Xenopus tropicalis: one gene and its partners. The protein of the gene in region 3 interacts with the protein of the main gene of each other region in a pairwise test. Links are inferred from orthologs where the notes say so. Each region holds a gene or a part of one and is shown on either strand. Other genes may lie near its edges.

The links.
Region 1: the proteins of bach2 (region 3) and mafg interact in binary tests that used the Homo sapiens proteins (3 or more experiments, as listed by UniProt). The link is inferred for Xenopus tropicalis from reciprocal best matches to the Homo sapiens genes BACH2 and MAFG.
Region 2: the proteins of bach2 (region 3) and batf3 interact in binary tests that used the Homo sapiens proteins (3 or more experiments, as listed by UniProt). The link is inferred for Xenopus tropicalis from reciprocal best matches to the Homo sapiens genes BACH2 and BATF3.

The regions. Positions count from the first base shown.
Region 1 is NC_030686.2:27,981,637-27,986,283, forward strand, and holds the start of mafg (transcription factor MafG), read right to left. Parts: upstream 3,236-4,647; 5' UTR 2,160-3,235; coding exon 2,109-2,159; intron 1-2,108. UniProt on the Homo sapiens protein: Since they lack a putative transactivation domain, the small Mafs behave as transcriptional repressors when they dimerize among themselves.
Region 2 is NC_030681.2:14,411,235-14,415,826, reverse strand, and holds the start of batf3 (basic leucine zipper transcriptional factor ATF-like 3), read right to left. Parts: upstream 2,875-4,592; coding exon 2,819-2,874; intron 2,250-2,818; coding exon 2,087-2,249; intron 970-2,086; coding exon 781-969; 3' UTR 1-780. UniProt on the Homo sapiens protein: AP-1 family transcription factor that controls the differentiation of CD8(+) thymic conventional dendritic cells in the immune system.
Region 3 is NC_030681.2:85,092,543-85,096,967, reverse strand, and holds the start of bach2 (transcription regulator protein BACH2), read right to left. Parts: upstream 3,122-4,425; 5' UTR 2,649-3,121; intron 1-2,648. UniProt on the Homo sapiens protein: Transcriptional regulator that acts as a repressor or activator. Binds to Maf recognition elements (MARE). Plays an important role in coordinating transcription activation and repression by MAFK.

The DNA of each region.
Region 1 (4,647 bases), on a different chromosome or scaffold from region 3:
CAGGAACAAATGAGAACAAAAGTAATTGAGATCTATCAGTCTGGTAAAGGTTATAAAGCCATTTCTAAAGCTTTGGGACTCCAGCGAACCACAGTGAGAGCCATTATCCACAAATGGCAAAAACATGGAACAGTGGTGAACCTTCCCAGGAGTGGCCGGCCGACCAAAATTACCCCAAGAGCGCAGAGACAACTCATCCGAGAGGCCACAAAAGACCCCAGGACAACATCTAAAGAACTGCAGGCCTCACTTGCCTCAATTAAGGTCAGTGTTCACGATTCCACCATAAGAAAGAGACTGGGCAAAAATGGCCTGCATGGCAGATTTCCAAGGCGCAAACCACTTTTAAGCAAAAAGAACATTAAGGCTCATCTCAATTTTGCTAAAAAACATCTCAATGATTGCCAAGACTTTTGGGAAAATACCTTGTGGACCGACGAGACAAAAGTTGAACTTTTTGGAAGGTGCGTGTCCCGTTACATCTGGCGTAAAAGTAACACAGCATTTCAGAAAAAGAACATCATACCAACAGTAAAATATGGTGGTGGTAGTGTGATGGTCTGGGGTTGTTTTGCTGCTTCAGGACCTGGAAGGCTTGCTGTGATAGATGGAACCATGAATTCTACTGTCTACCAAAAAATCATGAAGGAGAATGTCCGGCCATCTGTTCGTCAACTCAAGCTGAAGCGATCTTGGGTGCTGCAGCAGGACAATGACCCAAAACACACCAGCAAATCCACCTCTGAATGGCTGAAGAAAAACAAAATGAAGACTTTGGAGTGGCCTAGTCAAAGTCCTGACCTGAATCCTATTGAGATGTTGTGGCATGACCTTAAAAAGGCGGTTCATGCTAGAAAACCCTCAAATAAAGCTGAATTACAACAATTCTGCAAAGATGAGTGGGCCAAAATTCCTCCAGAGCGCTGTAAAAGACTTGTTGCAAGTTATCGCAAACGCTTGATTGCAGTTATTGCTGCTAAGGGTGGCCCAACCAGTTATTAGGTTCAGGGGGCAATTACTTTTTCACACAGGGCCATGTAGGTTTTCTCCCTAAATAATAAAAACCCTCATTTAAAAACTGCATTTTGTGTTTACTTGTGTTATCTTTGACTAATAGTTAAATGTGTTTGATGATCAGAAACATTTTGTGTGACAAACATGCAAAAGAATAAGAAATCAGGAAGGGGGCAAATAGTTTTTCACACCACTGTATATGCGCCAAATATAGTATTAAACTTAGTTTCACACCATGTTATCAGTACCTGCATAGCCAGTTAATCAAGAGAGGCCGAGAACTCCCAGTTGTACACATTAGAGATGGGAAGAATAAAAGAGGCACAGAAAACAGCTCTCCAGGCAGAATACATTCAATCCATTTATAAGGCAAAAGCCCAGAAGCCTGCATTTAATGAATACATTTATAAGGCAAGAGAATATAGTCTCTGCACCTGCTGAGAGTCTATGAATTTCTGTTAGCAACCCTTTTCCCCATACAGGGCGCACATTGCATATTTCCACTGTGACTGCAGAAGATGAAAAAGCATACCTTTTCTGCTATCCAACAGGGAGGGGGAAGGAGGGAGAAGGGGGAGCAAGTGGTTCCATTCAGCCGACAGAGAACCAGTGTGGGGCATGTCACTCACACAGTGCCTGGCAGCACATCCAATCACAAGCAGAGGGGGCGGGGCAGAAGATGGACTGCTAAGCAAGGAGGCAGGCTGCATGATCAGTAGCTGAATTGCCCAGGATGCCAGGATGAAAGGAAACACAACACAATGTGTGCCTTCCCATCTGTAAATAAGCCTTGCTTGTCTCCAGTGCCCCTGGACCCATACGCCTTGGAACAGGGCAAATGGGGCTTATGAATCAAACATGCAGTTCAGCCTGTAATTGTCATATAGATGAAAGAATACCATGCCCCACCCCCCTCCAAAAAAATTTGCATTCCCTTTTCCGCTCCAGGCGTTTCAATGAATATTCTCTCTTTTTTGTTCCTAAACTCAGAGCCCACACAACTGACAGCTGCTGTGCAAAAATAATTTTCCCTGTACAGAGCCCATGTCTCATATTTCTACTGTGACTGCAGAAAATGAAAAAAAAAAGCATACCTTTTCTGTTATCCAACAGGGAGGGGAAGGAGGGGGAGAAAACGTTTCCATTCAGCTAACGGAGAACCCAGTGTGCATCATGTCACTCACACAGGTTCTGGCAGCACATCCAATCAGAATTAGAGGAGGGCAGGGTGACAGATGGACAGCTAAGCAAGGAGGCAGGCTACAGGATTAGTAACTCCGTTGCCCAGGATGAAATAAAGAAGCGTTTGCAGGAATTTATGACCAGCAAACAATATTTATTCTAGGGATAGGATTGCCACTTAGCAACAGCTAATGGGTTTAGCAACTGCCTCCTGAAGATACACTGGGAAAATACATTTGTACCACTGGAACCACATTTCTGTGTTCCCCGGCAGAGGAGCTTGTGGCTTTAAAGAGGTGGGAGCCAGCACAGGTCTGATCTGTGCTTATTGGACAATGTGATATCACAGGAAGGGGAGTAGCTGAACGTGGAAGATTTTTTTTACCGGAAGTCTGTCGGATGACAATTCTAAAGATAAGGGAATGTTTTGAAAGAGCAGAAATTCAAATAAATATTATAAAACAAAGATGCAGTTCAGGTTGTAATTGTCATAAAGATGAAGAAAGGACAAAAGTTTTAGATAAGAAATAGATAAGTATAACATTTAACTACCTAAAAGAAGGTTTGGTTTTGTTGGTAAGCATTGTAACCCTATTACTATGGGAAGTATCCTGGGTTCTTTTGAAAACATCTATATTTATTAAAATGCTTCCTAACGTGAGGTTTAGCATTAATATCTTAGCCTTATATCCATCCTTAACTTCATGGATGAAATTTGGACCAAAGTGGAAGGAGGAAGCAACATTAGGGGAGATCTGAAGTCAGATGCTGCAGCTGAGCAAGACTTTCTTAGGCTGGTCACATGGTTTAAGGTTTGGCTAAAGGATACCATCAAATATTACATGTTACTGGAAATGAAATATTTCATAGTCTGCAGTGACTACTACTGTGTTTCATCCTAGTTACAGGATGTTTACAAACAAACTTTGAGGGTCTAGGCTCTAGGGCCTGCTTGTCATGGAAGGCAAATGGATAAAACTGAAATCCCTTACACTTAGGGGCCCATTCATTAAACCACAATTTTTATTTTTGAGAAAAAATTGTATTTTTTCTAATTTATTGAACTTTTCGTAATGTCCACGATAATTTCATTAAAATGTCACAACTTTTTCGTGGTTTTCGTTAACTTCCACAAGAAAGTCGTATTTTTCGTAAAGACTGCAATCATTTCGGAATTTATTCAAGCTTTGGTATCGTGACTATCTTTTGGCCAAGTTGGGAAGGCTTTCAAAATCATGCATTGAAGGTTTCAAAGCCAGAAAGGTTTTTGGGCCATTTCTGAACGTTCAGATCCGAAAATTTTGTGACTTTCAAAACGAACCATAATATTTTCGTACGACCGATAAAATAATTTTCGAACATCAGAAATTATCGTGGTTACTCTAAATTTTTGGCATATTGTGATTTTAACCACAAAAAAATTGTGTTAATCGGAAACGTAATACAGTTATAGGAGATATTTGAGCTGCCTGATAATATTTTAATGAACTGAGAAAATTTAAACCATCACTTTTCTTATGTTTACATAAAATGGCACCCAAAACACAAGGGTAGCCATGATTCCATATGAACCTGTTTAAAAGTTTTTGTGAAGTAATGAGCCCAGTCTTAGGTACTGGAATAAGTAGGGAGTGAAAAAAATATAGTTTTGGTAAAATAAACATCTTCGTCCTAACCAGGATATTTTGTATTTAGTCCATTGGGATAATAAGTTCTTACTTTTTTTCCCACATTGGAGGATAGTTCAATTTGTAAAGAGAGTATACCTGGAGCGTGAGGTTTATTCATATATTTTCAAATGGGTAGTTTTCCAGGAATCCAAATGGGTCTTTTTATTAACAGTGGAACCGTGAGATACTCCTAGTTTAACAACTCTAAGGGTGAAGACACATGGAGCTACTTAGTAGCAGCTACTTGTCACAGCTATTAATGTGCACTAAATAACATGGCTGCGTGCGCTAGGAGCTCTCTCCAGGTGCAGGTGGCTCACCTGCGATGAGGCTGTATTTAAAAAAAACAAAAAACACAGGATAGGATAAGAAAGAGTACATAAAAAAACTGTTGAAGGATAACTAGATGGAAAAGGAAGAACAAAACAAAAATTTTAAGCAACTGTATAACCATGGCAGCATAGCCAGGTACCCCATAGGCCAACTACTCTAAAGGAGATAAGGGGGGGGCTTACTGCACTGACAGTAAATCCAAGAAAAGGATTTACCAGTAAGAAAATCTCATTTTCTCTAGGCTGCTCTTCCTGTCCTGCAGACGTATGGGGACATCCAAAAGCTGTACCATAACTTGACTGGGAGGCAGGCCCGGATTTGTGGAGAAGCCATAAAGGCCTGGGCCTAGGGCGGCAGAAATGTAGGGGCGGCACGCCCCCCGCAACAGGGTTTTTAAAGTTTTTTTCCATTCGGAGCGGTGGGAACATCTTATGGGACTTTAAATGTG
Region 2 (4,592 bases), about 71 Mb from region 3:
CACACTCTAAAACTGATAAATACTAAAAAATCATTTAACAATTAATCCCAACAGGATTGTTTTGCCCCCAATAAGGATTAATTATATTGAGTTAGAAAGTAGGGGAAATAAAATAAACAAATGAATAGGGGGCTAAACATAATTTTTGTTTATTAATTTAACTAAGAAAAATCTATGTTATTTGATGTTTCTTGAGAAAACAGGGAAACTGACGCTGCTCCATGTTTGGTGCATAAATAGTAGATAGAAGTAGATAATTCGATTCCAGTGCACAGATAATCTCCCTGCATAATAGGCTGCTCCTAACAGAACAGTCACAACAAAGGGGAAGGGAGGGGGTTGAATACTGGTAATAACATTCTTGCAAGTAACAAACATAGAGCAGCTTTAGTTTCCTTATTTAGCTTGAGAAATAACAAAAATCATAGATTTCTTCTGATAAAAAAAACAATAATCCAAAAGTATGTTCAGCACAAGCCCTATTCATTGCGCTCATGTAGAACAAGGGGGTGTAGCGCTTGGCCTTCCTTAGACAAAGCAGCAGTAGAAACCAGGAGGTCAAGTTCTCATTTCCAGGAGCCATCTTGGTTTACAGGACATGGAACAGTGATAGGTAAGTTGTCGATTCCATCATATTTGTCTTTTCCCTGCAGTAACAATCACAGAGGTGTTTATGGCGTCATGCACCGGGGGGGGGGGGGGGGGGATTCTGTTGGCTTCAGGATACAGCAGAAAATGTGGCCGTAGGTCAAAGAGGAAATGACATTCACAGCCAGGAAGTCACCGCGGCAAACAGCCAGGAACAGCATCTGTCACTCGGGGCACCGTCACATAGTTCACTGGGCAGTGCAGAAACGGGCATATTTGCTCATGGTCCTTCAGAATTTGGCTAAGATGTTTCAGTTCATCTGTTAGTTTCCCGATTTCCTTCTTCAAGGATGAGTTTTCCTGTTCCAAACATTCATATTCCTGTCAAATGAGAGAAACAATGTTCATTAGAGAGAAAGTGGTCCTTTTAGGATCTGTCACTGCTGATGTATGGGAAACGTCATCTTGTGTATGGGCTACTCCCTCACCTGTATTAAGGCTTAATGGGGAACTATCATGAAAATAAAATGACAGATTACTGGTTGTATGGCTGTAAAGCTGGCCATACATGGGCAGATCTTCACCCGATATCCCCACCTACAGGTGGGCGATATCGGGGAGGCATGTAGGTGAATTCTACACGCGGCAATGGGGCAGTCGGATCGGGGGCCGCATCAACGAACAACCAATTTCAGGCCAGATATCGGTCGGCCAGGCCCCTCGGTTCTGCCACTACACAGGCCGATAAGCTGCCGAATTGGTCCAAGGGACCGATATCGGCAGCTATAATCGGCCCGTGTATGGGGACCTTAAGAGTAGAAGGAGAATACAATTTGTGTTTCCTCCAGTTCCTGTTACCCACAGCAGGTCAGCACTGGGACCCATTTCAATTACACAGAGGTACAAACAGCCCCCAGCAGCCCAATAAATAGTGACTGTGGCACCTTACAGCCCCTCTGGCATTTGCCAGAATCCACAGATTGCCAGTCTGGGCCTGACCCACAGCAACCAGATGGCTCAATTTACTATAAATACAGGTCATATATTGGTTGCTGTGGGTTACTAGAACTAGAGCAAACTTCTAATTGTTATTTTTAGCTTTCCTTTGAATTCAAAGACATCTGTTTCAAAAGCAACAAAAAAATATTTCCAAGTCCCGTCCACCATGTGCTTGTGCTCCACTCTTGCACAGCCCACAAACCTCCTATCCCACTGGAATCTAGATTATATTGGGTCAGTTGGGACCACTGCATCCCGTTATTCCCAGTTTAAATTGGGAGATATTTGCGGTTGTGATTCAAATATACTATGCCTACTTTCAACCAGCCATACCCCATTCCAACCAAACCATATCAATTTCCTAGTAAACCCCTCCACTTAAGGTATGCAAGGAAGAACCATTGCAAAAGCAAGCAACCTGCTCCCCTATAGATGGCTGCTGGACCTGTAGTTCAGCAATATCTAAAAGGATGATGGGTTTCCAACCCTTGTACTGTACCTCATGCAGTTTGTCAGCTTTCTGTGTTTGTTTTTTCCGGCTTCTCTGGGCAGCAACTCTGTTCTTTTCTCTCCTGCGAACCTTCCTGTCGCTGGTATCTGAGCTCTGAAAGAGAGAGAGGAGAGTGTAAAGTGGGTATAGGCAGCATTTATAGGTGCATTTCCTTTATTTGGAACACCATGCCCGCTAAAAAAAGATCTAAACATGAAATAATCCCAACAGGATTGTTTGGCCCCCAAAAAGGGGTAATTATATCTTAGTTGGGATCAAGTACAGGTACTGTTTTATTATTACAGAGAAAAGGGAATCATTTAACCATGAAATAAACCCAATAGGGCTGTTCTGCCCCCAATAAGGGGTAATTATATCTTAGTTGGGATCAAGTACAGGTACTGTTTTATTATTACAGAGAAAAGGGAATCATTTAACCATTAAATAAACCCAATAGGACTGTTCTGCCCCCAATAAGGGGTAATTATATCTTAGTTGGGATCAAGTACAGGTACTGTTTTATTATTACTGAGAAAAATTGAATAAATAAATAAAAATTATTCAATTATAATGGAGTTTATGGGAGATGGTCTTCCCGTAATGTGGAGGTTTTTGGATAATGGGTTTCCGGATAAAAGGCCCCATACATGTATTTCTAGAACTGTGAAAAGTATAAAGCAGTTTGACCAAACACTGCAATCTCTTGGCATTGTCACTGTACCACCCAAACATTGTGACAACCACACAAAGATGCATTTGACCATCAGGATGCCCAGAGCCAAGTCTACAACCTTCATGCCAGGCTTGGGGGAGATGCCAGCTAATTGGATTCTGCACAGACATTCAATGATCCTCTCCTATAGGCAGGTTTCATGTGTAAGTAAAGGGCTGCGACTGCACCCAGTGAGTAAGTGTGAGCTCTGCCGCAAGTGTTTCTGATGAACAAGCCACTTCCTTTTCAGCTCATTCGAGTTTGTTTACTGCTAAGCTCTTGAGCTCTTACTAATGGAGTTCAACCACAACACAGAGGAAAGATTTAATACTCAGTTCTGAAAGTGGGTTGTCTAAGATTCTCTTTTTAGGAATTAAAAAAGGAAATAATTGTTAATTTTGAGCATTTAAAAAGCATAACCAGTCTATAGACCTTATAGGTGAATATTGTATGATTTAGTCAGATGGGTAGGTGGGCAGAAGATCACAGTCTGTCATCATTAGATCTCTCACTAGGGTTGCCAACTGGCCAGTATTTTACCAGTCAGTCAAGCCGACCCTTCCTGCCAAATAGGAAAGAAAAGACAACAGACATAGCAATGTTGGTATCTTGTCCCCAGGAAACATGGCAGCCCTACCCACCATCCAATCAATGGCAGCAGGCCAGATCTTCTTTTTAGATGGTGTGACTGTGGCCCCATGGGAAAGCAAGAGAATCTGCTAAAGTGAAGGAAAACTAAAACCCAACAAAGAATTGACATAGATATGTTACACCTTATGTTGTACCAGTCCAAGGCGGCAAGAACCCTTTAGAAGTTAAGATCTGTGCCTCTGAAGATGCCCCCAGTAATTCCCTGCTATGTCCCAGCACCTGCTCTGGACTGCTGTCATTTACCTCAGCTTAGGGACTAACCAATATACCTTTATACATAATATACAGAATACCACTTGAGTATAAGCCAATCCAAATATAAGCCGAGGTACCTAATTTTACCTAAGAAAACTGGAAAAACTTATTGACTTAGCTACTGCTAAGTTTCAATAATCAAAATAAAAACCAGTAAATTACATTAATTGAGGCATCAGTGGGGTATATGTCTTTAAATATTTATTTAAAAGAAAAACAGTAAACTAGCTCTGTAAGTGTTAAAGAGGGTCAACAAAAACAATATGAGTACTACCCCACTATCATTGCACATTGGCAAACTGGCAGCAGACCCAGTCCCGGAGGAGATGTAAGGGGAAATAAGTATTGCTACAGGGAGCCTAGGCCAGGGCACTGGAGGGTCTGGTTGCGGGGGGCCTAATTTGCACACAAAGGAGAGAGGGTGCTAGTCTAGAGAGACCCATGGCACCCAACTCAAGTATAAGCCGAGGGTGACTTTTTCAGCACATTTTGGGTGCTGAAAAACTAGGTTTATACTCGAGTATATACAGTATATAGAATAATATTAGCATATACAGATTATATAGAATTTTAGCCCATTAGACCTAGCTTGGATCTGAGCTGTTACATTTAAGGGGTTGTTCAGCTTTAGTATGACACAGAGAGTAATATTAGACAATAATATAAACAATAATATAGACAATTTGCAATTGGTCTTCATTTTTTATTATTTGTGGTTTTTTTTTAATTATTTCACTTAGTTCAGCAGCTCTCCAATTTGAATTTTCAGCAGTCATTTGGTTGCTAGGGTTTAAATTAACTTAGCAACCAAGCAGTGGTTTGAATGAGAGTCTGGAATATGAATAGGAGAGGACCTGATCAGAAAAAAAAATGATAAAAAGTAATTATAACAATAAA
Region 3 (4,425 bases):
ACAGCTCCCAGAAAACAACCAGTCACAACTAGTTCAGTGGGAAGGCCCAAAACATGACTGATTTGCATTAAAACAGACCAGATGATTCCACGCCTGGGAATGATTTTTTTTTTATCCACAGATTTATAATTACCCCCTAAACTCCCTTCATCCCTAATTGCTACATGGGCTTGATCTGACTCAACAACATAAACTGAAGAAATACCACACAGGTTCACAAGAGCATCTTACACCAGGACATGCAGTCTTTTGCAAACAAATCTTTTTTTTTTTTTTTTTACTAAAAGATTCCTACTAGCTGTTAGGTTGCCTTGGGTTATTAGATCTGGGAACTTTTACTACATTGTTGAGTAAACACCAGCAAAACACCAATGACTACTATATTTTGCTGCTATTTTCGGATTAACTACTCGCAGAATATTTATAAAATGCTATAGTTTACATAGTGTAACTATATGTTTACATTTCTACACATTTTCTAGGTGTTTTTTTTTTTTTTTAAATTTAAAAATAAGAAACAAGACAAATCTATTGCACACAAAAAAAAGACTAAAAGAAATTTTAAAAAAAATGAGAGAAAATTTGGATTTTCTAAATCCAATCCTTTTGTTATAACACGTTGCTGCAGACCTAAACAGAGTAGGAAAATACAGGCTAATTCCTAATAAATGTAAAATCCACCATCAAAACTGCTTTCGCATCGCCAGACCTCAGGATAGCACAAACGACACCAACGCAGATTGTCAATGTGGGAATAAGTCATTTGTATATATAAATTACTTTCCCTGTGGTCTTCGCAAAGATGGGAAAACACTGAGGTAATGTAGTTAAAGTCCCAAAGTTTGCGGCATGTCTAATTACCCCAAGCAGGTTGTATCTGTGAACCACCTGTTTAAAAGCTTACACCTGACTGGTGGCAATGGGTTACTAGACCAAATACAAGGTTTGCAACTTTTACTACATACGATACACTCCCAGCAGGAAAGCATGTTCAGCGTGTCAGAACTGCAACATTTGGGCATCTAATCGTAGTGTTTAGGTAGCAAGCAGGATGTTACTGCAGATCGCATTATGTTTACTATTATCCCCACTGGGGAGGCAAATTTACTATTTATGCTTTGCAGCTGAGTGTTATTATCCTTTTCGCTTAAATACACCGGCAGAGGAAATCTACTGTGAAAACTCTTTGAACCACATTGGTCAGAGTCGAGGAAACACATTTTGCTGATGAATTGACATTTGAGAAACGGCATTAACCCCACTGCTTGGAAATTCAGCTGTAATGGTGAATAAACGGCTTAGCTTAGCATCAGGTTAGCAGTTGTGTTTTTGGGACAGTAAACATTATGATGGGTTTAATGACACCACAAAATAAACTGGGTTTTAATTAACGATAGCCCATTGGGTTGAAGGGAAGAACGTTATAAATATCACCTATTTAATATTATGCAGGTTAAGAAAAGTGCTTGTGGTCACCAGTAATACAAATAGCATACCATGCCTGATTCCCTGCATGAAATCACTACACACCACTCAATATGCTGGTGATCTGCTCACTAATCAAAGGCAATGAAATCGGACATATCATACATACATGACATAAGCCTGTAGAATATAGGGAAAATGTTAAAAGTTCAATATTGAACCCACCATAAACAGAATCTTTAAAACAGGGGTAATACAGTTTGACCTGCAGCACTCTTGCACAGGTTGAACTACGGCTTTTTCAGCACACATACACAAGCAAAGGCTTTCAGGGGGAGCTAGATGGTGCAGGCCAACAACAGATGGAGAGCTGAAGGTCAAAGTCTGCTGATCTATGATGTGTGACAAAATCCAGCAGGCAAGCTATAGAAGTGTCACCCTACCAGCCCTGCTAGGGTCTGTTAATATGAATGAATCTCTACCAACACACATTGCAATGCTGCTACATAACGGCACCAAACTGAATGGCTTTTTTTACGTCTCAACACTTCACTGCCAACGCACACATTGTTATTTAGGATTCACTGGCATTATAAATACTGTGAGACGGCTTTGCCAACACGAAACCCTGACCAAAGCTAAGAAGCCGCCTGGTGCTGCTGCTAAATATGCTGAGTAGTGCTTGCAGGCAGCAGTGACGGGGGGCAGCCCCACTGTGCTCAGCACAACCAACTCAGCAAAGCAGCTTCACCTTGTGCTACCCTGCTGCCTGGATAAGTCGCTCATTGACTCTCCGGCCTCATAAAAGCCGCTGTGAATGGCACCTTGGGCTGCCCTGATACCCACAACTGCACATTGTTACCCAGCACCACTCGTGGGTTAAAGGCAATATAATAATTATGACAGCTGCCCCTCTCTCTCTATAAGCACAGCACAGCAAGAGCCAAGCTGGGCTCAGCCTGCTACTCCCATAACCCCACACTGACACCCGGGAACCGCACGGAACAGGAATGTCTCCCCGCGCTGTAACAATGCAGCTCCTGTGCGAAATCCGGACAGCACTCAGGCCGGAAATATTTATATAGGACTACAAATCCCAGCATCCCTCAACATCTGAGGACCAAAGTGTCACACATGCTAAGGTGGTTGCAGTTTGACATTCTTAGCCAGGTGTCAGCTGTACCAAACCTGCAGGGACCCCCCCCCCCAGCCAATGGACTCACCTCCCGTGCACTTTCAATTCCTCCTTCTTTCACTCGATCTTCTTCTTTATTTGTAGCATTCCCAGCGGACCGCAAAGGGACCCATCACATGGCAGCGACTGCTGCTGCTGCTTTTTTTCTGTTGTTGTTGTTGTTCCCAGGAGCCAAGGAGAGCTTCTCAATCACGATCCACCCCCACCGCCTTGCAAAGAGGAAGGCTTTCCGAGGGGAGACGGAGCTGCTACCGCTGCAGCCCTTGTTTGTGGCTGATGTGTGTGTTTGTGTGCCTGTGCAGTTGTCAGTCCGGGCTGTGCCACAGATGCTCTGAATGTACGGGCTCAGCTTAATGACCTAGGGTTGCACTGTAGTACAAGCATGGCCACTCGCCTGTGTGTATTTGTGTATCTCCCAGAGTGTGTGACTGCCCCTTTCTCCCTCCTGATTGCCAGGCAGCGTGTGTGACTGCCGTGTGTTTGTTGCTCTCTGAAGGGCCCGCCCACCCCTCTGCCTCCTTCTCTGCCTCCCTGCTTGTTTATTGGCTGTCCAAATCGGCTCGGAGACTCGTTACTGACATCTACTGTGAGCTCCTGAGGCGCAGTGTCACATATCCTGTTGTATTGTGACTCATTGCACAATGGAGGCATTGTTTACAACTGTGAGCTAGTAATATTGATTCACCCCTTCCTTCATGGGAATGTAATGGGTGCTCTCAGCACTCTACTCCATTTACTTGCTCTGGCTTGCAAATAAAATATTTCATTTCAACTGACACCGACACTATTACGTGCACCGAATAGTTTTATTTATACACTTGGAAAAAGTGTGCTTAGTTGCACTTAATAAAGCGACTTTTTTTTTCTCTGCTGCCTGTAAACTTGTAAATATATATATATATATATAACTGCACATAAAGGGTCTTGTACCCATGTCATTTAATGGATGCACCATTCTGTTGTATAGTGTTGCAGGATATGTTGGCACTTTTTGTGCTCATTATGTAGCTTAATACAGTATAGAAAAATGGCTACCTGCTATCTATTTTTTTGATTTTTACAAATAAATAAATGAAAGTCTTTGCTCAAGATAGATATTAGTATGTAGATTTCAGACATTCATATAGTCCAAATTTATAACATAATGTACATTTGAGCAAGGAAGCAACTTACATTCAGAAGAGTGAATAATGCAGCACTGCTCAGCTCTGAGAAAATGCTTGTTGAAATGTGCGAAATGCATTAGTTCCCTACATGTTCATGTACTGTTTTTGACACCATGTGAATAAAGCTTTGATTTCATGAAATATGTAGCGGTGTTTTACAGATAGTTGGTGTGGACGGAATTCCAACTGCTTTAATGTACCTGAGAAACTGACTTGCCAAGCATGGGCATGTCTCATGTCAGAAATATGTCACTGCATACCACAATATACAGCAAGTGTCATTTTTGACTTTTGGCATATGTGTGGGGAAAACTGTATTGTACACAACCCCCTCAGCACATTTGCCTCTGCCTTGTATTTTGTTTATATTTTTCACAAGTTTAGGTTTTGCAATTTGCATTTTTCCTTTTGCAAAGAGTGGATGTATGCTTATTAACTTTTAAAGTTTTTCTTTTAAAATCATCCAAAAATGAAACATCAGATTTATGTAATAATATGTAGCAGTTTAATATTTACCACATCAATAACACTTTTATGACAGTCAGGAACACTTTTCCAGGCAGTTAATTCTTTTAACAAACTGACACAATTATCAATGCAGATACATGTCAATTTGGCAGAAAATGTTTGTGCATTGCA